7 linked regions of the Kluyveromyces lactis genome follow. The protein of the gene in region 4 purifies or fractionates together with the protein of the main gene of each other region. This does not show direct contact. Links are inferred from orthologs where the notes say so. Each region holds a gene or a part of one and is shown on either strand. Other genes may lie near its edges.

What was found.
Region 1: the proteins of SPB4 (region 4) and SPB1 purify together in Saccharomyces cerevisiae (affinity purification with mass spectrometry, with the first as the bait; 5 studies listed by BioGRID). This does not show direct contact. The link is inferred for Kluyveromyces lactis from reciprocal best matches to the Saccharomyces cerevisiae genes SPB4 and SPB1.
Region 2: the proteins of SPB4 (region 4) and RLP7 purify together in Saccharomyces cerevisiae (affinity purification with mass spectrometry; 7 studies listed by BioGRID). This does not show direct contact. The link is inferred for Kluyveromyces lactis from reciprocal best matches to the Saccharomyces cerevisiae genes SPB4 and RLP7.
Region 3: the proteins of SPB4 (region 4) and ERB1 purify together in Saccharomyces cerevisiae (affinity purification with mass spectrometry; 7 studies listed by BioGRID, with this or other methods). This does not show direct contact. The link is inferred for Kluyveromyces lactis from reciprocal best matches to the Saccharomyces cerevisiae genes SPB4 and ERB1.
Region 5: the proteins of SPB4 (region 4) and RRP17 purify together in Saccharomyces cerevisiae (affinity purification with mass spectrometry; 5 studies listed by BioGRID). This does not show direct contact. The link is inferred for Kluyveromyces lactis from reciprocal best matches to the Saccharomyces cerevisiae genes SPB4 and RRP17.
Region 6: the proteins of SPB4 (region 4) and NIP7 purify together in Saccharomyces cerevisiae (affinity purification with mass spectrometry, with the first as the bait; 4 studies listed by BioGRID). This does not show direct contact. The link is inferred for Kluyveromyces lactis from reciprocal best matches to the Saccharomyces cerevisiae genes SPB4 and NIP7.
Region 7: the proteins of SPB4 (region 4) and YTM1 purify together in Saccharomyces cerevisiae (affinity purification with mass spectrometry; 6 studies listed by BioGRID). This does not show direct contact. The link is inferred for Kluyveromyces lactis from reciprocal best matches to the Saccharomyces cerevisiae genes SPB4 and YTM1.

What each region holds. Positions count from the first base shown.
Region 1 is NC_006039.1:51,916-55,993, reverse strand, and holds SPB1 (27S pre-rRNA (guanosine2922-2'-O)-methyltransferase), read right to left. Parts: upstream 2,807-4,078; coding exon 305-2,806; downstream 1-304. Other genes in the region: PBN1 (Pbn1p), read left to right, coding at 1-216; KLLA0_C00715g (uncharacterized protein), read left to right, coding at 3,807-4,078. UniProt on the Saccharomyces cerevisiae protein: Required for proper assembly of pre-ribosomal particles during the biogenesis of the 60S ribosomal subunit. Specifically methylates the guanosine in position 2922 of the 25S rRNA at the stage of 27S pre-rRNA maturation.
Region 2 is NC_006040.1:417,998-420,899, reverse strand, and holds RLP7 (Rlp7p), read right to left. Parts: upstream 1,466-2,902; coding exon 509-1,465; downstream 1-508. UniProt on the Saccharomyces cerevisiae protein: Involved in the biogenesis of the 60S ribosomal subunit. May act as a specificity factor that binds precursor rRNAs and tethers the enzymes that carry out the early 5' to 3' exonucleolytic reactions that generate the mature rRNAs.
Region 3 is NC_006042.1:2,460,381-2,464,688, reverse strand, and holds ERB1 (ribosome biogenesis protein ERB1), read right to left. Parts: upstream 2,814-4,308; coding exon 438-2,813; downstream 1-437. Other genes in the region: CSM3 (Csm3p), read left to right, coding at 1-311; KLLA0_F26587g (L-methionine (R)-S-oxide reductase), read right to left, coding at 4,017-4,308.
Region 4 is NC_006041.1:1,267,525-1,271,199, reverse strand, and holds SPB4 (ATP-dependent RNA helicase SPB4), read right to left. Parts: upstream 2,300-3,675; coding exon 509-2,299; downstream 1-508. Other genes in the region: ULA1 (Ula1p), read left to right, coding at 1-482; pseudouridine synthase DEG1, read left to right, coding at 2,680-3,675. UniProt on the Saccharomyces cerevisiae protein: ATP-binding RNA helicase involved in the biogenesis of 60S ribosomal subunits. Binds 90S pre-ribosomal particles and dissociates from pre-60S ribosomal particles after processing of 27SB pre-rRNA.
Region 5 is NC_006037.1:186,920-189,503, forward strand, and holds RRP17 (rRNA-processing protein RRP17), read right to left. Parts: upstream 1,234-2,584; coding exon 502-1,233; downstream 1-501. Other genes in the region: ERD1 (Erd1p), read left to right, coding at 1-455; DFM1 (Dfm1p), read left to right, coding at 1,752-2,584. UniProt on the Saccharomyces cerevisiae protein: Essential protein involved in ribosomal RNA processing.
Region 6 is NC_006038.1:200,320-202,809, reverse strand, and holds NIP7 (ribosome biosynthesis protein NIP7), read right to left. Parts: upstream 1,059-2,490; coding exon 513-1,058; downstream 1-512. Other genes in the region: signal recognition particle subunit SRP72, read left to right, coding at 1-209; pseudouridine synthase PUS1, read left to right, coding at 1,635-2,490. UniProt on the Saccharomyces cerevisiae protein: Required for proper 27S pre-rRNA processing and 60S ribosome subunit assembly.
Region 7 is NC_006039.1:647,160-650,415, forward strand, and holds YTM1 (Ytm1p), read right to left. Parts: upstream 1,849-3,256; coding exon 514-1,848; downstream 1-513. Other genes in the region: KLLA0_C07403g (uncharacterized protein), read left to right, coding at 1-396; FSF1 (Fsf1p), read left to right, coding at 2,959-3,256. UniProt on the Saccharomyces cerevisiae protein: Component of the NOP7 complex, which is required for maturation of the 25S and 5.8S ribosomal RNAs and formation of the 60S ribosome.

The sequences.
Region 1 (4,078 bases), on a different chromosome or scaffold from region 4:
ACTTCCATTGAACTTACGAAACGGTCACCCTTCTATACTGGAAAAATCGGATATGAACACTTTTTCACTGACAACACCAAATTTTACTATCTAAATTCTACTAAAATGACAATTAACCTTCCGAAACTAGACTCATCTGATAACTTATGTATTCAGCTGTTTACCTTGGGATTGGTGCTCTTTTCTGTTTTGTATTTGATCAGAAAACTTTTTTGAAGTAGGTTGATCTTATTCAATATTCTATCTACGACTAAATATAATGTACAATTCCATTTCACGGATTAAGTGATATGATTAGCATTCCTTATTTTTTGTGATGCTTTTTAGCGATACGTTTCAAAGCCCTTTGTTCGTTCTTTAAAACACCGTCAACCATCTTATATTTACCCTTAACACCCTTAGGCCTGCCGGAAAGACCTCTATTCTTACCACTTGCAACCACAACTGTGACCTTCGGTTTTTGCTTTGCTTTCTTGGTAACCTTTCTCATCAATTTTGCAATTTCTTCAGCCTTGTCCTTTTCAGATTTATCGCTGTCATCATTAATTAGACCAGCCTTCTTCTTCAACTTTTCTAAACGAGCAACAGCACGGTGCTTCTTCCTGGCTTTAGCTTCAGCAACTTTTTTGATGGGTCTGGCATTTAGAGCCTTCAGTTTATCCTTTATTGCCATGGCTGCTTCTTTGGTGATAGGCTTATTAATTTTGGAATGTTGTTTTTCTTCTTCAACGAACCATTCGGGCAGGTTTTCCATATCACGGAAAGAATATCTATTGAAACCCTCTTCGATTAAATCATGTTTCGTTTTGTGACCTAATGCCAATTGATGAGCTAGAGTCATAGCTTCAACGGTCGCAATATCAATGTCTTTGGAATGTTTCTCTTGTTTTGTCCTCTTTGCCTCTTCTTCGGAATCATACTCAGAGTCTACATCGCCATCTTCGTTGTTTGCGACGATTTCGAAATCACTATCTTCGTCGGAAGATTCGGCTTCAGAAATCTGCTCTGCAGGAAGTGGATTCAATTTTCTTTTCTTTGTTAGTTGTTTGACATCACCCACAGACTCTGAATCCGCAAGATCCGCCTTACCAGGTAAATCTGGTTCAACTCCCTCGAATAAAGAATCGGAAAATAGCGCGCGAGCTTTAGAACTTAACTTGCTGCTGTTTTCTCTACTTTTCAATTTTGCTATCAACTGATTGATAGCTTCATCATCGTCAGAGTCTGAAAGATCCGAGTTGTCATCGTCGTCAACATAATCCTTAGTTTCTTCTTCGTTCTCTTCATCACTTTGTTTGTCCTCGAATCCATTCCAGTTGTCCGCTTCACTGGATTCACGGGCTTGCTTAGCTCTAAACTTTGCATCTCTTTCTGACTTGCGTTCCTTATAGTTACTGTACATGGCATCAAGTTGGGATTCTAGTTCATCAGCCTCAGCGAGCTCATCACGATCATCCAGAGGCGCATTTTCATCAATGTGGATATCGTTATCTATGGCTAATTCATTTTGATCAAATATCATTCTTCTCTTACCCTTGGCAAGTTTATCAAGGATACCCGTTTTTTCTGCAGTTTTCAAATTGAAAATTGATTCTCTACCTAACTCTGCAGCTTCGATACCAATGTCTACTGGATTGATCATATTTAATTGCATACGAACAATTTCCTTCTGTTTCATTTCGTTCTTCTTTCTCTTCTCACGCTTAACAGACAACCTTTGTTTCTCCTGTAGAGTATTTAGTTCTTTTTCAATCTGCTCTTCTTCTGTCAAAGGTGTTTCCTCAATCTCTGGTTTTTCTTCCTCTTCATCCAAGCCTAAAAGTTCTCTAGCTGCTTTTCTCCATTTTAGGATCATCTTGAAATCTTTTCTACCAAGAACCTTTAAATCTTCGATACATGCCAAGAATTCTTTGGTGGTTTGCTTTAATTTCTTCACAATTTTCCAGTCATGATCTTCTTCGTCTACGATGAATTTATTATATTCTCCAAGCATAGTTATTGGGTCTTCTGATTTCATAAAGTCCATAAGACCAGTTTCATGGTATAACAAATAATCACCTTCCTCGTAACCACCTCTTTTTCTGACCTTTTTTTCTGGATTAAAAACCTTGGCTTCCATGTTTTGTGGACCATCTGGTAATTCTTCAAAGACTTCCTTTGGGTCTAATAGCCTTGGATCCAACTTCTTAGGGGCCTTGAAATTTTTGCAGACAACGAAAATTTCCGCAGAAACATTTCTGGAAGCAGGAGGTTTGGTTGCCTCCACCTTTTCGAAGAGCTGTTGAAATACCCAAATTAGCTTGTTGTAATCTTTGGATCTGAAGATCTTCGTTACAAATGTACCACCAACTACTAAATTTTCAACGGCTAATTTTAAGGCTTGCAGTGTTAAATGAGACTGTGTGAAGGCATCTTGAGCCCAACTCAAACCAACATTTGGAGCACCATCGTGTAAAACGGTGTCGGCTTTCCACGTCTTCATGTACCCTCTTAATTTCGATCTACAATCTTCCGTTGTGATATCACTTTGGAAAGTAATAACGTTTGGCATAGTTTTCATCGGAACAATATCGACACCAATAATCAAGGAGTTAACAGGACACAAGTTGGAAGCCACTTGACACCAGGAACCTGGTGCAGCACATAAATCGATAACGACCTTCGACTTCTCCAAAAAATGTCCATACTTTTCATTGATTTGAATGATTTTGAAGGAAGAACGAGCTCTGTAGCCCTTTTCCTTAGCAAGGTAATAGTACTTATCTAAACGACCTTTGGAATTCTTCTTTTGCGTCTTCTTACCCATCTTGGTCTTCTCGGTAATGTATGGTGACCTATTCACTCAAGTCTAAAAGAGAACAGGATATCAGAAAGCAAATAAACAACAGTTGTAACCTGTTCAACGTTCAACTAATCTCTTCTCATCTCATCTCATCTCATCTCATCGCTAGACCAATTTCTCAAATAAAAAATTGTCACTCTTCTCACAAATAATGAAAAATTATCTGAAAAAGAAATAATTTTGGATGCGGTGTTCGGGTTAAGAATGCTCGCGGTACCAGGTATGGAAACACCGGACACTGTACTGGAGGAACTGCCAGCTTTGATGCTATGCACGGTTTCCACTGTTAAAATAACGAGCAGTAAAAAATCTGTTTGGACGTGTTATCATGGATATTGATATTACTGTAACAACACAAGACTTATATAGAGGGCCCTTAGCGTTCCACAGTTTTAAATAAGGAATATGATTTCGGTTTTTTTTCAACCATTAGCACTGCCAACGTTTACAAATAATTATGCAACGCTCTCAGGCTATAAGGGTACCGATGCTTATAATATTTCTGCAAGATTATAGGTATGGGTAGTTACTACTATTGCTACTGCTGATCATACCATAGGCTAAATAAATTTATGACCGCCTCTCGAAATAGAGATGCATTCTATGGCCCTCTCGGTCCATTGGCAGTAACTGCAATCTTATATCCAATTATCACACAACATAATGGTTCCCGCTTATACGTAGGTGTATATATAGCCTAATTCATCCGGGTTCAGTATCACTATATTTGGCCAGAATATCTGCGTATTGTACATTCCAGCCAGTAGAACGATACACGTTACAGACAGAGAAAAAAGGAAGAAGAAAAGCATTCCAAAATAAAACTGCAAAAATCAAAAATCCTTTCAAGTACTTACTTACTTGATTAATTTATGGTTGTATGAGATACTTGTACATAAAGTATTGTTTAATTCAATTGCGCAAGATATCAATCTAGTATCCACTGCGTTGAATACACGGGAAGATGAGTAAGTATTCATTTGAAACGATTCAGTTTAAGGAGACTCCTCCGGCGGAAACTCCTGAACCAGTGAATTCCAAATATGGCGTGAAAACGACAGCATCACCAGCTATTAAGAACGCTCCATTGCCTGCAGAGGGACCTTCTTCCAGACACTTTTCCAATTGGTTATTATTCTCCTTGCTCGGTGGTATTCCTTACTATGTAACAAGGAAAGTTGGGGGAGGTCTCAAAACCTTCTTGTTCTTTGCCGTACTGTTTGCTATCCCAATTTT
Region 2 (2,902 bases), on a different chromosome or scaffold from region 4:
ATAATCTGTGTAGTGTGGGATACTTTTTACTTCTTCAAATAGGTATCAACAATAAAAATAAATCGAAGCAAATGTAGGAATGCGTTAAAGCAGATGTACTTACTTAGAGTACATAGATATATTTATATAATTCAATATATAAAAGTATATGAAGCATCTGATGTTGAACCTGTCATGACTCTAAACTGGAATGGGTAGTTATGCTTCTGAAGGTTTTCCGTTAGAAAATGAGTGCAGGGATCAGGCCCGGAACCGGTTTTAGCCTGAAAGGAAAAGAAAAAAATGCGGTGATTACTAGCACGTGACTGCGCTGAATTGGAATCCACCACAAGTACAGCGAATGGCAAGAGGGAAGGGGAATATATTGTGCCTGGCGGTAGCGTCTGCTATATCAAATGTTAAACATAACTAAATGCAGTAGTGAATAGAGTAATGTATTTCTACATATGTGGGTAGGGCCAATGGGAGCCCGATGTCTATTGTACAGATATTTTCCTTTTATAGTTAATCAATTCAACTTGGAAATCATTGAGTCGATATCTACTTGGATAACTGGAGCCGTGGCAGCGTTTGAAATTTGACGAGTCTTCTTGTTTTGTTCGCGCATTTTCAGTTTATTCAAACGGGAGATGGCACCGAATCCACTGACTTCTCTGTTCAATTTGAATGGTAATAGGAAGAAAGTACATTTCGAGAAATTTTCGCCCAACGTCGAAATCTCATGGATGATATCCTCGATACAAATGACACCTTCATCACCTAATTTCTCTTCAACGATATTGTTGTCATTCAAGATTATCTCTTTTGGTTCTTTATCTTCTGGCCTTTGCCACATTATTCTAGATCTCTTTTGGATTAAAGAACGGATAGATGCAAGTGAAGGTTGTCCGATAACAATATATGGTGATACAAGTTTCAACAATGGGTACACGTCCTTGGTAAGTTTGATGAAAACACCAGTGTTCAACTCAACAAGTCTCAAAAGAGATAACACTTTGTAAGCCTTTGCTGGGATCTTCACAGCTGTGGGTCCTTTCACTCTTATAACAAATAATAAGCTTGGCTCACCATCGTATACGATTTTTTCCCTGATTAACCCATCGTCCTCTTCATCTTCCTCATCAACATCTTGAAGCTCAGATTCGGATGTAGCCTTACTACCGGCTTCTCTTTCAGAGATACGCAAGATAAAATCCCTATCGGATGGGATATGTGACAAATCGTTCTTGACCTTTTGGTTTTCTAAGTCTCTGACTCTTCTGATTCTGGTCTTTTCTCTCTCAGTAGCCAAAGTTGTGGCGACTATCGTCTCAGCTCTAACAAATCTGTTCTTCTTACTACGTTTCTGTTTCTCTTCTTGCTCCTTTCTCTTCTTGGCAAGCTCCTGCTTCTCCAACCTAGTACGATCAGCATTTCTTCTCTTTCTTAAAAGAACCTCTGGGTTCGAGTTCAATGGTTGTGACATTTGTTGCTTCTATATTACTGCCCTGTTTATTAATCTCAGCACAAACCAGCTCTATATAATACAACTTATATGCTCCTAATACTTCAGATTAGCCAAGGTCATCTCTCATTGAAAGCTTTATTCATAATCTTTAATTTCATCTCATCGCATCTCATCGCACTGAACTTTTTTTTCCTCGCCAAAAAAATTTTCTGTAACGAAAAGAAACACTTCCAGTCACGTGAACTGTGAAACCAAGATCTTCTGTTTGACACTCAGACAAGTAGATGATCAATTACAATTACAATTACAAGCTGACCTCGAATAGGGTACTGGCAAGTTGGCGTTTACCTGGGATGATCTGTTGCTGCAGCATGGTGTACCCCAGCAAGATTCTTCAGAATTAAATGGGAACATTTCGGAAAGTTACCCAAAGAATGGGAAGCAAGTTAAATAGTCAAATAGTCAAATTGTGACTGTCTATATGTGAATCGTATATACAGAGACGAATTTTCAAGCAGTTTCCCCTATCTACCTGCTGCAGGAACTAGCACTTCTAACCGGCAGTAAAGTTTTCCGTATCAGCTCATGAAATCGTTATATCTTGGCTTTTGACACTGGCTTTCGAGGTGGCTTTAGGAGTCTCGAAATGTGTGCCCACAGCAGTGTTTCCTTCGAAACCAGCCGTGGCTCCATTCTTTGTACCATCTATGCCGCTCTCTGTTTCGAAACAACCGTGAGATCAACTGTGGTTCAAGTTCTCAACACAGAACAAGTAAGAAAAAAAAGAAATGGGAAAAGGTCCCTCGAGAGGAAGAATGCTGAAAAGGCAGAGAAGGAACCTCAGAGCAAAGTCCGCCCTTTATCATAAATCGGCGGTCTTTTCTTACAACAGAGATCCCAGTGGGGCGGCTCGAACGACGGAAAAAATTTCGAACGATTTAACCGTGAACGCATGCCTGTCCCTAAATTGTAGGACGTTTTCCTCGATTTAAATTCCAAATCACTGAGCGATACCGCTGACAGCACTGGAATTATGCTACTCTTAAGTTATATTTTTCCCTTCGCTCACGTGATTCTAGGAAGATAGTAAATACACTGTGCCGTTTGTTGAGCTACAGCGTGAACAGTAGGAAATGTACTTCCACTACGGGCTGACTAAGTCCACGCTCGAAGGAATAAAAATCACTTCGAGTGTCTTATGTTTTTCTTTTCTATCAAAACGACAAGTACGATAAAAAAACCGGCATGAAAATCGAGTAGTGGTTATCAGAATGAACATTGCAGGACCCGCGCTGAACCCAAAAGTCGACTTTCTTGATTCTTAATTGTAATCTGACTCTTTGAATGCTTTGAGCTTCGAAATTCCTTTTTTTTTTCTTTCATATTTAATAGTGAAAGTATTGAATCCTCGAGAAACTGAAAAATTATACAACCATATAATTAATACACACTGAG
Region 3 (4,308 bases), on a different chromosome or scaffold from region 4:
AAGCCACCAAAATTATCAGCCTAGACAAAGACAAAAATCAGAATAATGACGGCAACTATGACGATGATGATGATGATGATGATGATGATGATGTTCTATATTCTTCGCATCACCAGCGGCACACGAATGAAATGTTGTCCACCACTGATACAAACATACGGCAACATACACAAAATGGCTACGCTCTGCCTAACGCTGAAGAGTTAGACGAATTGAGTAAAATTACGACCGTTGCCAGCACAACAAATAACGGTAATGATATCGCATCAGATGAGGAAATGGCAATGATGAGAGACATGGATACCTTTTGAGCTCTGATCCAAAGATAATAATGTATTCCCTTGAACACTAATTAGAAAGTATCTACTTGTAATATTGATAGGTAATGATGTCCATAGTATACAGTGTTTTACAAATATCCCGTCATGAGGGTTCTATCAGGTAGTCCACAAACGAGCGGTTTTGTCGGCACCTGCAGAGAATAGCCAAGCTTCACGTGGATGCCATATAGTATCTAGAACACCTAAACTATTCACAATCTTGTGGCCGGTTAGTTTCTTCAACGGGACGATCATAGGGTTCTTCATTAAATCGTCATAGACCGTGGCATGGAAAACATGGATGTTACCATCATCCGCAGCTGAGCAAAACAGTGGTAGTTTCTTGTGGAAACTTACGCTTCTTACAGCCTTCTCATGGTATCTCAAGGTCTTATATGGAGTGCTTGCAAGGTCAAGATCATGCCACAACACTCTCTTGTCAAACGAGGATGCAATTAAGTTATCACCTCTTGGGTGAATATCAATAGTAGATAACCAACGAGCACCAGGTAGAAGTTTCTTGATTAGCACTTGTTGCGATAGGTCATAAATTCTGACGTATCTTTGAGAACAGACCAAGAGCTGTGGCTTGAATGGATGGAATTTTGCATCCATAATGATACCCTTAGATTTTTTGAATGGCGATTGAGTTAAATGCTTGGATAATTGATGAATCAAAACTGATGTATTACCTGAGTCTGGTTGAACAGTGACAAAGTAATCACCTTTTCTATGCCATGAAAGCTTTTTCACTGATTTACGACAAGTTATTACGATACAAATATCATTGGCAGCTTGCCTTTCGGTTGGTTTATTCCATTGAGCAACCTGTTTCTTGACAGCATGTGATTCAGCACCGTCATCCTCATCATCGCTATTCACATTGAGATTACTCTTTTTGACGTTTCCGAAAGTATCGAAACCAAAACCGTATTCAATCTTTGATTTACCTGTGTTTTCAATTTCAAAGCCGAAAATTGGTGGAACAAGCAAGAAGATGTTTTCGCCAGCAGTAACCGCAAGGATACCGGTAGTACTGTCGGGATTCCATTCAACAACGTCTATGTGGTCATCATTGTTTTCTTCCGCATTAAGTATTGTGACTTGGTAAACTTCTCTACCTGTAAGAATTTCCCATACTCTGACAGTGCCATCATCGGAACCAGTAGCCAACCATAATCCAGTTGGATCAATGGACATTGTACGAATTTTTCCTTTATGACCGACATAAACGGTAGAGCAACGGATTGGAAATGGTCTCAAATCTTTTGTAGAGGGCAATTCTGGGATCAAAGATTCAGGATCAATGTTCAACTTATTTTTGCGAACACGAGGCGCTAAATACAAATCTAATGATCTTTCAAACCTTTCTCTGACAGATTCAGAGTAACCTGGAACTTTTCTTAATGCAGCGAATTTGTGAGGCACAAAATTTCTCTCTCTTTCACTTGGTTCCATCTTTTCCCATGCATCAATTTCCTCTGGGGTCAAAAGATACTCTTCCGGAGGGTTGTAAGACTCCTCATTTGTTGGTGGTGGCAATTTTGGGGCTCTCAAGTTCATAACATGTTCAGAGATTTCTTCGGCATCTCCCCAGAGATCGTAGTTATGACTGTCTTGTTCTTCTTTTTCTCTTAATTCCTTTAGTTTCTTTGGTGGGATAATTCTACCTTCTCTGATTGCTTTGACTATTTTCATCACACGCTTGGCTTCGTGCTTTGACGGAACGAAACGTCTTTTCGGTTCTGGGACGGCCGTAACTGGCATTACAGATTCGTGTCTAGTGAACCAGTCGATTAAAGGTTCGTATGGATTCACAGATTCGTCCGTCTGTTGATTATTTTGCAACTTATTGATTAATTCAAGTTCTTCTTCGGTCAAATTCAAAGAGGCACCGCTGTCTTTGTCTAGTAAACCTGTCCAACCCTCTGGCAATTCTATAGATTCCAATAATTGATCTAAAGCAGATCCTTTGGCTGGTCTCATTATTCTCTTACCATTAATGTCATAACCAATATGTGGCATTTCATCATATGCAGATAGTGGGATGTTACCAATTGTGTTCTTAGCTTCTGCATCACTATCATCACTATCATAAACAGGATTAATTTCTGACTTAAGAATTCTTGGTCTTCCATCTGAATACTTGGTACGAACAATGCCTTCATCGCTTGTTTCTGGAATCACTGTTAACTTTACATTTGACAATTTGTCGGTAATGGAAAAAGCATCGCCTTCTTCAGAAAAATCTGAAGTATTATACTCCTCCTCCTGTCCATTTTCTTCTTCAGCTAATAAGCGATTGAATTCAGCATCAGAGTCGTCATCTTCAGCTTCCTCAGCTTCATTTTCGCTAGCCTCTTCATCGATTAAACCATCAACTTCAATTCTTTCATCTTCAGAATCGGACAATTCAGATTCCTCGAGAACTCTCTTTTTTACAACAAGCTCCGCTGATTCAGAACCATTCAAAGAAGAATTCTTTCTGGCCATAGTTTCTGGTATTGTTTTCTGGCTCTCTATACTTTCAGAGCTTCTTCTGATGCCGTTAACTTTGAGAAGTACTGGTTATCTCTGTGGTCTATTCACTTCAGCTCATCTCATCTCATCTCTCAAGATGAAAATTGAAAATTTTAAGAAACAAAAAGAAAGAAAATTACGATACATTAATTACTTCTACAAAGTTTTGAACAAGAATGCTATTTTGAAAAAGTCAAAGTACCCTTCAGCAAAGATAGGGAACTGGTATTCAATCAACTCCACATATACTTCTACTTACGTTGAAGATATTTACTTTGGTCGCTAGCCTACAATGAATGTAATTCTTAACTCTTATTTTTTTTGCATCATAGACAGTTATCTTAGTTTTATTCTAGTAGATGCAACATCGTTTTCAAGTTTGTAATTTCATCATTGAAGAAGCTATTTCCAGTAAACTTCATTATTCCAATTTGGGGCGCTGATAAGAGAGACCTATTTCGTTTCTTCAGAAACTCTTAACGATGTAACATATACTCATGTAGTTCTCTCAGATCTTGTTGTGATATGCCTTGGATGATAGTTGATTGATTAATCGCCTGATGAGGGATCGTTGATATCAAACAATATAACGAATATAATATAATAATCTATTTAGTTAGATCGTTGAGTATATGCGTCCAACCTCCCCAAGAGGTCGCAACATAGCTCAGCCTTTTATACTCGACTTATATACTCGGATGGTCGTCAGACTTCGTCATGGCAACTCATTGCCTCCATGCCCTTGTAGGTCCTCTGCAGCTACCGTCCTCCACGCGCACTCAAGACCATCACGTGACCGTCTATGATCCATCTAGGCCATCCCTTCTGGATACCACAGGATCCATATGCCCAGTCACTGACGTCTTGGAACTCTGCCGTGTGCTGGCTAGCTCACATGACCTCTCGTCTGGCTTGTCTTCAGTCTATATTACGACAGACCTCACAAGATGGTTTCGTGGTCTAGTCGGTTATGGCATCTGCTTAACACGCAGAACGTCCCCAGTTCGATCCTGGGCGAAATCATTTTTTTCATTGAAAACTAGAAAACTTCTGTTCCACTGGACCTGGGGCAGCATGCCCTATGTTAGGTATGCAATAACAGGCAACTTCATATACGGTCAAGAGTTGTGATATCAATTGAGAGAATATAATTAACGAGTGTAACTACTTAATGAGTTAGAATACGCATGTCTTTGAAACTGAAGCGGCCAATTTTTCTAGAAATTCTTGGTCAAGCTTAGTAAACCCGTTGTAGTCCAAACAGTCAATATCGATAACACCTACTGTTTCGCCATTTTGGACTATAGGAACCACAATTTCACTCTTTGTCTCCCCATCACATGCTATATGCCCTGGGAAGTTTTCAACATCTGGTACTAATTGAGTTTGTTGACTAGACGCAGCAGTACCACACACTCCTTTACCAAATTGAATCAACTGACAAGCAACTTTGCCTTGAAATGGCCCA
Region 4 (3,675 bases):
ACCAATTTGTACGATGCATCAGAATATTTTACGATTTGAGAGGCGATTTACCTGTGTCCGCATTCATTCCAGATATGGAATCCTCAACTAAACTATTCAACGCGCAGAAAGCAGTATATCAACGTAAAGCTGCCAAGGATAAATCAGAAATCATGCGCATTCTAGCAAAGGAGAATTATAGTTTGATACCTGAACCACTCATAGATAAAATGCTCGAGAACTTAAAACATTTGGATGCAATTAAAATGGGTAGCCTCTCATCGGCAACTAGAACTATAAGTGAAAAACCGAAGTTCAATAAGTTGCTATCGCTACAAAACGATAGACATGATACAACGTTTGTCAGCCCTGCGATGGCATCAATTCTTGGTGCAATGGTATCACAAGAATGCGTGAAATTATTGACACATCAATATGTACCGGTTGAAAACACATTGTTATATGACGGGGACTCGAATGAAACAAGCACATTTATATTATAATAGATTTATCTACGATATGTAATTGACTATAAATCATCGAAACTTCCTTGCATGGAGTTATGCTTCTTTTTCTTGTTTTGTCTTACAAGGTCTTTCCAGTCTTGCTCAACTTCATCTTCTGATTCCTCATCGCCCCGCAGAAGTTTCTCTTCAATTGCCTTCCTCTTGATGGCCATAGCTGCTCTTCTTTCAGCTTTGGCTTCTTTAGTTAGTGTCTTATCGGACCATGCCATGTTCTTCTTCTTTAGCTCACTTTTCAGTTTCTTTTTATCGCTTATTTGCTTGAGGTTTTGTAATTCTTGTAACCTCGCCTTCTCCTTTTGTTTATCTAAGTAAGCAAATGTGTCTAAATTCACTGGTGGTGATACCAACCAACCTTCCTCCGGAATTTGGTCGGCAGCATACCTGGTTATTTCGGGCATACGTGGCAGACGTAACAACCCGTAAAAGTTCGCAACGCCGATGAAATCCATGGAGTGGAATCTGAAGATCGATGATGCAGTATGCTTTGAGTAGTATTTTATAAATGCAACGTATGCTCTTACGCTGTGATCGAATCTTGCTCTATCGTGTAAAATCCAATCGTGGAATATTTTGGTTAGATTCTCTACGCCTTTCAGTTCCACAGATTCTTCTTCTAGTTTGACGTTTTTCACTTCCAGGAATGGTACGTAATCTTCTTCTCTACCTTCATTTAAAAACACAAGTGCCTTACCAATCCTATTAGCCCTACCTGTTCTACCACATCTGTGAATGAATATATCTGCATCTGTTGGTGGATCAAGTTGGATAACTAGATCAACATCTGGTATGTCTATCCCTCTAGCAGCAACATCTGTGGTGAATAGTACGGCATCGGTCAAGTTAGAAGTGAAACTGTCAAGCGTCTTCATTCTCGATTGCGTCTGTAGCTTTCCGTGTAGTGAGAAGAGTTTTAGATCATCCTGAATCAAATTAAGCTCTTTCAAATGGTTTATGAATGCGTAAAAATATGTGACCGAGATACATGTCGGGAAGTAAACTATGCATTTCTTGAATCTGTAGTTGTTGAGTAGAGTCAACAATAGTTGTAATTTATCCTTAGGTGGAATGACGATATAGTTTATCGAAAGAGATGAAGGTGCGCTCGAGTTAGACTTCACAGCAACTTTCACTGGATTTCTCATACCTGTTTTGAAGATTTGCGCACCCGCACTTTCGATTGTTGCCGAAAACAACCCTGTTCTTCTTTGCTTCGGCAACATCTTTAAAATGGTTTCTACATCTTTCTGGAAATTCAAATCCAATAACTTATCAGCTTCATCTAACACGACGGTACCACAGGAAGCAGTCTTTACATTAGTCTTCTGCAAAAAATCTAGGACTCTCCCAGGAGTACCAACTAGTATTTGGGGTCTGTTATCTGTAAAACTATTGATATCGTCTCGAACACTAGCGCTACTTGTTCCGACGAGTAATTGCGACCGTATTGGGTACAGATTATCTGGATAATACTTCAGAAAGTCTTCTATCACATCATGAATCTGACTGGCTAATTCCCTGGTTGGTGAAATGATTAACGAATGGAAATGTGATTTCTTGAATTTGGCCGAATTGGCTTCTTCTTTTATCAACCTTTCTAAAATTGGAATCACGAACGCTATAGTCTTACCAGATCCTGTAACAGATTCTACCACGACATCCTTGTTACCAGAGAACAACGGAATAGTTGAGGCTTGAACTGGCGTCATGGTCTCAAACCCCATCGATTCTATAGCCGTTCTAATCCATGGTTGTATCTCGCATTTCAAATCGTCCCACGATAACGACTTCGACATTTTGTATCAGTTCGAAACTTTAGACTAGGCTTTGGAGTGGTGAGTTTATACCTTGTTGGTCAAATCTTACTCCTGGATTTCAAATGTATGCATATGTTCACACTGATTTAATCTGGATACATTTTCCCGATGAGATGAGATGAGCTTGAACTTATTTTTTTTCTTTCCAGCTGCCATCCCAATAGAAAAGAAAAAAAATTCCATTAAATCTGTACAAACTTGCATTTAATGCTGATTGGCATTGATGCGGCGTTGTTCTCGATGGTTGTTCCATTCATAACAATTTGTATTCAAATTTGTTTGATATGATCTATTTGTTAAACTTCTATGAAGTTATATTAGCCTTGTGATATAATTCTTTCAAGACTACATATACTGGGATGGGATTTTTATCAAAACTTTTCAAACTAGATGGTAAAGGCACTGTGTCAGCAATGTCCACTGACCAGTCTGCTTATAAGAATTGGACCAGGGAACAGTTGATTGAGCGATTGCTACAGCTGGAAAATACTAGTGAAAATGGTAGTGATGCTAAAGGAAATAACTCAGATACCGTGGCTGAGGTAAAAAAGCGATCTGCGGACGCTGCTGTTGAAGCAGAGAGAAGAAAGAACGTCAAGAAACCTAGGAAATCAAGGGAATTCGACTTCTCCAAATACAACACACGGTTTGTCGCCTTCAAGTTTGCTTATTTGGGATGGAACTATAACGGATTGGCAATTCAAAAAGATGCGACTCCTTTACCTACTGTCGAGGGTACGATATTAGAGACCATGAATAAATGCAAACTTGTTCCGTCCATGGTTCCTCAAGAATATAAGTTTAGTAGATGTGGAAGAACAGACAGAGGCGTTAGTGCCATGAATCAAGTAATTTCATTGAGAGTTCGTTCGAATCTCACTGCAGAAGAGCAGCTTGATCCCAGCTATGACGACAAGGAGATTCAATATGTTAATATTTTAAACCAGATTTTACCAGAAGATATCAGAGTATCTGCAGTTTGCCTACGGCCACCAAAAGGTTTTGATGCCAGATTCAGCTGTAAAAGTCGACATTACAAATACTTGTTCAGCTCAGAGGGTTTGGATCTTGAAAGGATGCAACTGGCAGCCAAACACTATGAAGGTGAGCATGATTTCAGAAACTTTTGCAAATTAGATGGTTCAAAACAGATTACAAATTATAAGAGGACAATTAAAAGTTCAAATATCATGCACGTCAGCGAAGACATGTACTGCTTTGACTTGGTAGGTTCAGCTTTCTTGTGGCATCAAGTGAGGTGTATGGTGGCTAATCTATTTCTCGTTGGCCAAGGTCTTGAAGATCCCAATCTAATCAAAGAAATGTTGGATATAGAAAAGATGCCCAGAAAACCA
Region 5 (2,584 bases), on a different chromosome or scaffold from region 4:
TTAAGTATGCTGGTAATATTCCTATCATGCTAGTTACAGTCTATACAAGATATTACAACCTGGGCCCACTTGGAATGATGTATTGGTTCATGTTTTGGAATTCCGCGTATTCATTCTGGTGGGATGTGACCATGGATTGGAAACTAGAGCTGTTCGATTTTGTGAATGGGGACACTAGTGTCAATAACAATAATAGTAGTAACAAAGCGGACGGTCTTTTAAGAAGCATTTTGTTGTACCGGAAAAATGCGTGGTATTATAGCGCTATGGCGCTCGATTTTATTTTGAGATTCGTATGGTTCTGGGAGTATATCAGTGGGCACTCTGTATTTTATGGGGAATTAAACATCTTTTGGTTACAAATTTTAGAGATAATCAGAAGATGGATTTGGTTATTCTTTAAAGTCGAGGTAGAATACATTGCAACAACAGAGGGGGGGAAAATGGATGAATGAGATGTTTAGAAAGAGAGGAAGATAATAAATAAAAAAAAAAGGTTAATTACTTCCTACGTTTATTATTGTTGGCCTTTCTTTGATTTTGTCTTCTCTCGTTCTTGGTCAAGTATCTGAACTTCTTATTCTTTTTACTCTTATTACCAGATTTTTCTTCAACTCCCAAAAACTTTGCATATTTCTTCGCACGTTCGATGCTTTGATCTAAAATTTGTTCCGATTTCTCTAACTTCACATTATTTAATTCCGCAAGGTACTCAAAATTGTCATTGGGCTCTAAGGGTTCGATGTCTACCGTAGTATCATCTAAGTAAGTCTGTACATATTTCTTTAAGATCGGTTTCACACTAACAGAGTCAGAATCCTCTTCTTCTTCTTCAGTTGCATCTCCGTTATCATCGGAAAATCCCGTCCATTCTTCAGCCTCTTCATCGCTTCCCTGTTTCCCATTTTCGGCTTCTTCGTCGTCGTCCTCTACACCGACATAATCACCGACATCTTTCATCGCCTGTTTAAAATCTTCAAGCTGTTTCTCAAGAGCCTTTTTTTTATCTGCTCTGATCTTGGCCCTTTCCTCGAGCCTAGCTTTTCTCTCTTGCTCTTGGATGAACTCCTTGGCTTTCTTTTGTCTATCAAGCTTTCTCTTATGGAACCCAGTTAAGTATTCCAACCGTGAGTCCTTATCGAACTTTACCTCATCAGCACCGAATTTCTTAGCAGCTTTCTGCTTGTAAGATTTACCACCGGTAAGAATCTCACGATTACTCTTTGCCACCATTTTCACTCTATATCCACACTGCTACTCTGTATCTTCTGCAGAACTTGAACCGGTCTCAGCACCACCTCAGTAAGTGAAAAGCCTATCTGCTTTCTTCAGCTCATCGCATCAGCAAGTTTTTCCGTTTTAATGCTTTTTCCAAATATTGAAACTTCGAGATACAGAAAGAAATACATAGATAACTATAACATGATTGCATAAGGGCAATCTAGCCGTCCTGACCTAATTTATCTAGACCAATTCATATGCTCTGCCATGCACTAAGTAGAAAACAAATCTAGGCGTATACCTGTGTAGAGGATCATTACTTAACTATTCAATTTCTGTCATTCTGTGCTTTCCTATCTATGTCTTTCCCATAGCTTTAATTTTCGGGTTCTATGAAATTTCAGTTCCAAGTTGCAGTGAAAGAAAGATATTTATACTCACTATACAGATGCGCTGTCAAGATAGACACCGGAGGTACCATTCAGTAACATCAGTGGGATATACGATACGCGTGATTATTCATAGCAGCCATGACTATGCGTAACGAATTGATACAGTTTGTAGGACAAATTCCACCGGTGACCCGAGGAATATGTCTCTTAATGGTGTTAATATGTTTGATCCAACGCTTGAACGTATTACCGTACTATTTCAGCGATTTCAAATGGTCTTTACGTGGTGTATTGTTCAAGTTCCAAATCTGGAGGTTGTTCACTAGTTTCCTCATCTTACCAAACGATGCCATGAAAGCATGTTTCGACCTATACGCAGTATACTCGAAATCGTTACATCTCGAATTAGTGCACTTCAGCAACAAATCCATCGATTATTTGTTTTACATATGTTTCAACTTTGCATTGATCGTCGTGCTCGTAGAAGCATGCCAGATCTCATACCCAGTGTTCACTAACGCATTCATAGGAATGATCCTATATACGTGGACTCTGGACAACAGCAACGTGAAGGTAATGTTCTACGGATTATTCCCAATCTTGGGTAAATATCTATCGCTAGTGCATCTTTTCGTTTCGTTCTTATTTGATGACGGGACCGATGGTTACAGCAGGTTTTGCGTCACAATGGTCGGGTTTTGTGCTGGATACGTTTACTCCTGCCTAGACACATGGACTTACGGTCCCTTGTACGGTTATCTGATGGGGAAGGACCCAGCGTACGGATTCTCTGGAAGAGGTCATTTCAGATCACCAAGATGGTTCTCCTCGATCATTCTATGGATAGGACGTGTCCTATCCATCACCTCCAAACCCGTTTCGTCATCAAACAGGACAGACCCCGTGACCAGAAGAAGGTTGAGAACCCCGTTAAAGAAAAGCACTTTCGCTGGAACTGGAAATAGATTAGG
Region 6 (2,490 bases), on a different chromosome or scaffold from region 4:
CTAAGAAGTTGGATCCTGAAAGATGGTTACCGTTAAAGGAGAGATCAACTTATAGGGTTAGCAAAAAGAACATTTCTGGGAAGAACACTCAAGGTTTTAAAGCATCTAAGGCTTCAGAAGCCAAATTAGATATCACTAAGAAAGCCGTGAAGAAGCCAGCAGGTAAAAAAACGTCAAATGCTAAATCTAAAAACTCGCGTAAGCATTAGAGGGAACTAACAACATATGTACATTCATTTTACTTTTAATTAATGTAGTTTTTCCTGCGATATCAAATATCAGTCGTCTTTGATTTTAATTTAGACAGTCTTTGATGAAGATGTGAGTATTATTTGTTCCGTAATATATCATAATATACAATATCGTTGATAAATAACAACTTTTTTTTGAGGTGGGAACATCGCTGAATTGCAGTTGCACCAGGGGAAGGTTTTGTTCTATCCAGAAAGTGAAATGAGTAATAAGTTCTATATATGTAACAAGTAAGTGAAAATGTACTTTGGAGTATTCGCCTAAGTAAACAATGTATCTTCATCTCTCAAGTACTCACCAATATCTGCTTGTCTGAATGCGACAATACTGGTTGGTTGAAGATCTCTGGACTCAGAAGTGCTCTTAGCACTCACACCGAATCCTAATGGCACATCATGCATCGAAAATACGATTACACCTGCATGCTCTGGAATATCATCGGACATCTTACCAACGTGTGCCTTCAAAACGTGGTTACCGTATAGGAATGGCATCTCACCATTAGGTTTGATCCACACTTTGTACTTAGCGTATTGCGCAAGTACTGACAAAGATGTGATATGCAATCTAAATTTCCCAGTCTTGGTAAACTTCCCCATGCAGAGACCCAATGACATCAGGTTCGGTCTAGCAACTGAAGTAGCTAAATTGGCAATGTGCTCTGGGACATAGTACACTCTATCCTTCTGTAGTCGGAAAACATGAGGTTGATCTTTATTATCCACCAAGTACACTATATTCCTTCCAATGTACCCTGCTAGCTTCTCGAAGATTACTTTCGTCTCTTCCTCTGTCAATTGTCTCATTGCTATTATTTCGATACCTGATTCTGACCGGCTTTGAATTCAATACAACAGCTTCGAATACTATTTCGTAGAGTACTCATCGCTTCAGGTATAGCATCATCTTTTATGCGATGAGCTTCAGTCTAATAATGATGAAAAGAAAATTTGATGCTGCCCTTCAAGATACCAGGAAAAAGAAACAAACAAATCACGTGATACTGAGAAATATATCTAATAACCTTCGTAAACGCAGTATACAGGTGCTCAAACCTTTTACAATCGATACACTGGGCTCCAGATAGAGGTTAACGCACATAATGAGTATCCAAATGGATAAAATGAGCTAAAGAAATATGTTATTCCTGTATTCATGATTTTCTTAGATCATCGCTGACCTCTTTGCTGAAAAAATATGATTCTTCATACAAATCTTGGAAAGTTTAAACTTTTATCAACAGCTCATCGCTCTGATTGAAAGTCTCAAGGTTGAACGTTGAATGCTAAATTGGGCTTTTCTATTCTTCTTAAGGCTCAATCAGACCTACCACTTATCTATCTGCAGAGGTGCTTCAATAGGGAAAACTAGAAGCGGGTGTTATGAGCGAAGAACAAAATTTGAGACCGGTTTATGATGATGATCAACCTGGTGAAGATACTTACAAGAGAGGCGCCATCTACAAGCAGACCAGATCACGGAAAGCTGACTATGAGGATGGTGAGAATTCTGAAAAGCGTCAGAAACCAAACGACACTGATAATGGGCCAACCGCTGTTGTCACAGACCTTTCCAACGAAAAGAAAGAGACTCGATCCAAGGATAAGGACGAGTCAGTGGCTTTAGCTGTGGATGCTGATGGAAATCCAATTCCCCAAGAAGTTCGTCTACCCAAGAGGAAAGTAGCAGTCATGATTGGGTACTGCGGTACTGGATATCATGGAATGCAATACAATCCACCGAACGACACCATTGAAAAGGAACTGTTTGAAGCCTTTGTTAGAGCTGGTGCGATATCCAAGGCAAATTCGACAGATTTGAAGAAAAACGGGTTTCAACGTGCGGCAAGAACCGATAAAGGTGTTCATGCAGGTGGGAATGTGATTTCATTAAAGTTAATCATCGAAGATCCCGAAGTCAAAGAAAAAATCAACAACGAATTGCCGGATCAGATTAGAGTTTGGGACATTTCCCGTGTCAACAAGGCATTCGACTGTCGGAAAATGTGTAGCTCTAGATGGTACGAGTATCTGTTACCAACTTATTCACTGATTGGCCCAAAACCGTCTACTTATTTATACAACGAGATTGAAGCTAGCAAGAAGGAAATACCGAATGTTATCCAAGATGATGTAGAAAGTGCACAATTCTGGGAAGCATTCTCTACTGAGGCTGAATCTAAGTTTACCAAGGAGGAATTGGAAGAGATTGCAGCTTTTGTCATGCCGAAAGATTCTT
Region 7 (3,256 bases), on a different chromosome or scaffold from region 4:
TTGGATAAGTTCCAAAAGCCAGAGAACTTAACAGTACTTTTCGGTGACTTTTGCTGCTATAAACCAGAGAAAAAATACAAAAATATAATAGTATGTTCTGCATTCTTTATTGACACAGCAGCAAACATGTTTGATTACTTCAATGCTATTGAGATGCTTTCTAACAATTGTACAGGACGTTTACACTGGGTTAATGTTGGACCGTTGAAATACGGAACTAGACCACTAGTACAATTCACATACGATGAGCTAGCAAGACTACGTAAATTACGTGGATGGGAAGATCATTCCAACCAGGTTGATGTTAAAAATTTGAATGGTTACCTAACAGACTACGAATCCTTATTCCAAGGGTTTTATGGTCTAGCCAAATTCCATTCGGAACTAAAAAGATAATTAACATTAGAACCCTGCAAATACTATGTTGTTTCTCAACATTTTTTGTGGTACATTTCTTTTATATTTAAGTGAACTAGTGAGCATAATTCCTGTATATAATATATAAAATTACGATTAGTTACTAAATATATTATCACCTTTATTAATTTGAATTTTTTTGTCTTGACCACCGCTGATGATACCTACGCCTTTAGCCCATTTGACAGCAAACACTTTATCATTGACACCTTTAACAACATTTTTATCTTCTCTGGTGATAGTGTACATTGCAGTGTTAGACCTAACATCCCAAACCTTGACAGTTCCATCGTGAGATGCAGAGCATATCATATATTCATTTTCTGGACAAGTATCCAAAGCGACAACGAAGTTCTTGTGACCTACAAGCTGCTGTTGGGTGATTTTAGATGAAGAATTTACACGAGGATCATGAAGAGTAATGTGTCTGGCACTCGACCCGCATGCTAAGAGATTTAATTTTGGTAGTTGCGCAACAGAAAGAAGTGAGTACGATGTCGTCTTTGTATCGACACATTTTGCCGTTATCAGATCCCATGTTTTTATAGTATGATCTTGTGACACGGAATACCCAACAGTATCATCCGATTTATCGAAAATGACAGCCTCTACTGGAGCACTGTGAGATTCAAAAAGAGCCAAAGGGGCTCTTCTTCTGATAGATCCATCTTTTAGAGTCAACTTTCTCCTCTTCTTGGCTGCAGTAGACACGTTGCCTCCTAAATCCTCCATCGGATCAATGACAGTCATCTCTTTATAATTCGTGGACCACAAGCTCACCGTATTATCGCATGATGCAGATAGAATACGGTCTTTCGAAACATCAATGGACACTACAGGGGCTTTATGACCTTCCAAGATGGCCAATGTCTTACCATCCTCAATTTCTTCTTCATCAATTGATTTCAAATCATCATTCTTCGTTTTCCACAGACGTAGAGTGCGATCATTCCCTGCGGACACCAATCTCGTACTAGAAATGTAATGCACAGCACGAATAGGGCCAGAATGACCACTGTATTGTTTTTCGACTTTCCCTGACAAGTTGTACGTTCTTACGATACCGTCATAGGAACCACTGTAGATGTAATTGCTTCCGACATCCAATGAGCTTACCCAATCTTCGTTATCAAAACTAGACAAATATGAAGGTGGTAGCACTGCTCTAGTATATTCAACATTCAAAAAGGTTTCCGATGATAAACCTTTCTTGATCAAATAGTCCTGCAACGATGTTCTCAAAAGTTCACCATCGATAAGGAAATCAAATGGCATAGATTTAGGTAATTCCAGTAGGTGATTAACAATTTCAGAAAGACCATATCTCTTTAGACTAACTGGAGCATAGATTGGAGCATCATTGACATGTAAAGTCTCATCTTCTTCACGAGTAAAGAAGCGTAGCTTCACCTGAGTCTTATCTGTTGACATATTCCCCTACAGTTTACTTCTCCTTATAACTAAGATATTCTTCCAGTGAATTCTAGTTTGAATTGTCTAATAGATTGTGATCGCACGTTGTTACTGAGGTACGATGGAGCGCGTTAACTCTATTCTTCCTATCTTGTACATTTTCTAAGCGTTGTAAGATGCGATGAGCTTGGAAAATTTTTGGGAAACAAACCACTGCTCGAAAAAGAAATCCGCCAGAAATAAATGCCAGTCACGTGTATATGTTTTAAGGAACCGGGTAGTGGAAATTAGTCAGTACACCAATAGCTAAGTGACAGACTAATGACCGTGTAATACTAAACATTTTCACGAGTAATATATGGTATATACAAGTATAAGTAAATTCAGGAGTGACAAGAGATAGAGAATGTCCCGCTCACGCAGCTACCAATTAAAGCCAATTGATGAAAAATAGTTAAGTACTTTAATCAGTATGAGGTACGCTCGCGGATAGAATTTTCATCTAGCCGTTCTTTTCCCCTCTGTTCATCTACGGTGTATCAGATGGCACAGTGAATAGAAGGCATTAATATGTTTCGTATCACTTTTTTAAGCCAAATAATCAAAAGAACAGTCGACTCGAATTTGATTAACTTAGAGTACTTGCTTTAACCTTGTCTTTTTCTCAAGGTGAAAAGCTTCTCAATTTATACTGGATGTCTGTTCTTTTTTTTTTTCAGGCAGAGAAAATTAGTTGTCCGGGTAAATTATCATATTACCTTTAGACATGTTAAGAATATGATTAGGGCAAAGACAAATATGTTATTGCTAAATTGGAAATCGAAGTGGTTGGAATCATCATCGTTTCACTAGTACAGTTTCTCCGAGAATAAGAGAATTATAATAACCTATTGCTAGATCAATAATTACTGTCTTTTTTCTTATCAGAATTCCAGCAGCTTTGTAACGCCGTACGTATCATTCTGACGCTGCAGAATGAAAAAAAAAAATGCAAGCTCGAGAGAATAATGCATTTATATCTAAAGAGTCATCTCATCTCGAAAGTAATTAAGCAAGAACAAAGTCGTGTTTGTCTCGTAGAAGCTCAGCTCATCCAAAAGACTTCGATACACTTGAGTACAGCTTATCATGGCATCCAGTGTCCCAGGTCCAATTGCCCTACCAGAATCTCGTTATGATCTAAGCACCTATTGGGGACGTGTTCGTCACTGCGCAGAGATTTCTGATCCAACGATGTTGTTAACGAGCAGTGATGATCTTCAACAAGCTCGCAAAATCATCAGTGCATATCGCCATGGAGAGTTGAAAGAAACGACGCCTGAGTTCTGGCATGCAAAGAAACAGCTAGATTCTACTGTTCATCCTGATACTGGTGAAACTGTGTTTCTCCCATTCCGTATGTCCTGTTGTGTGCCCTCAAATCTGA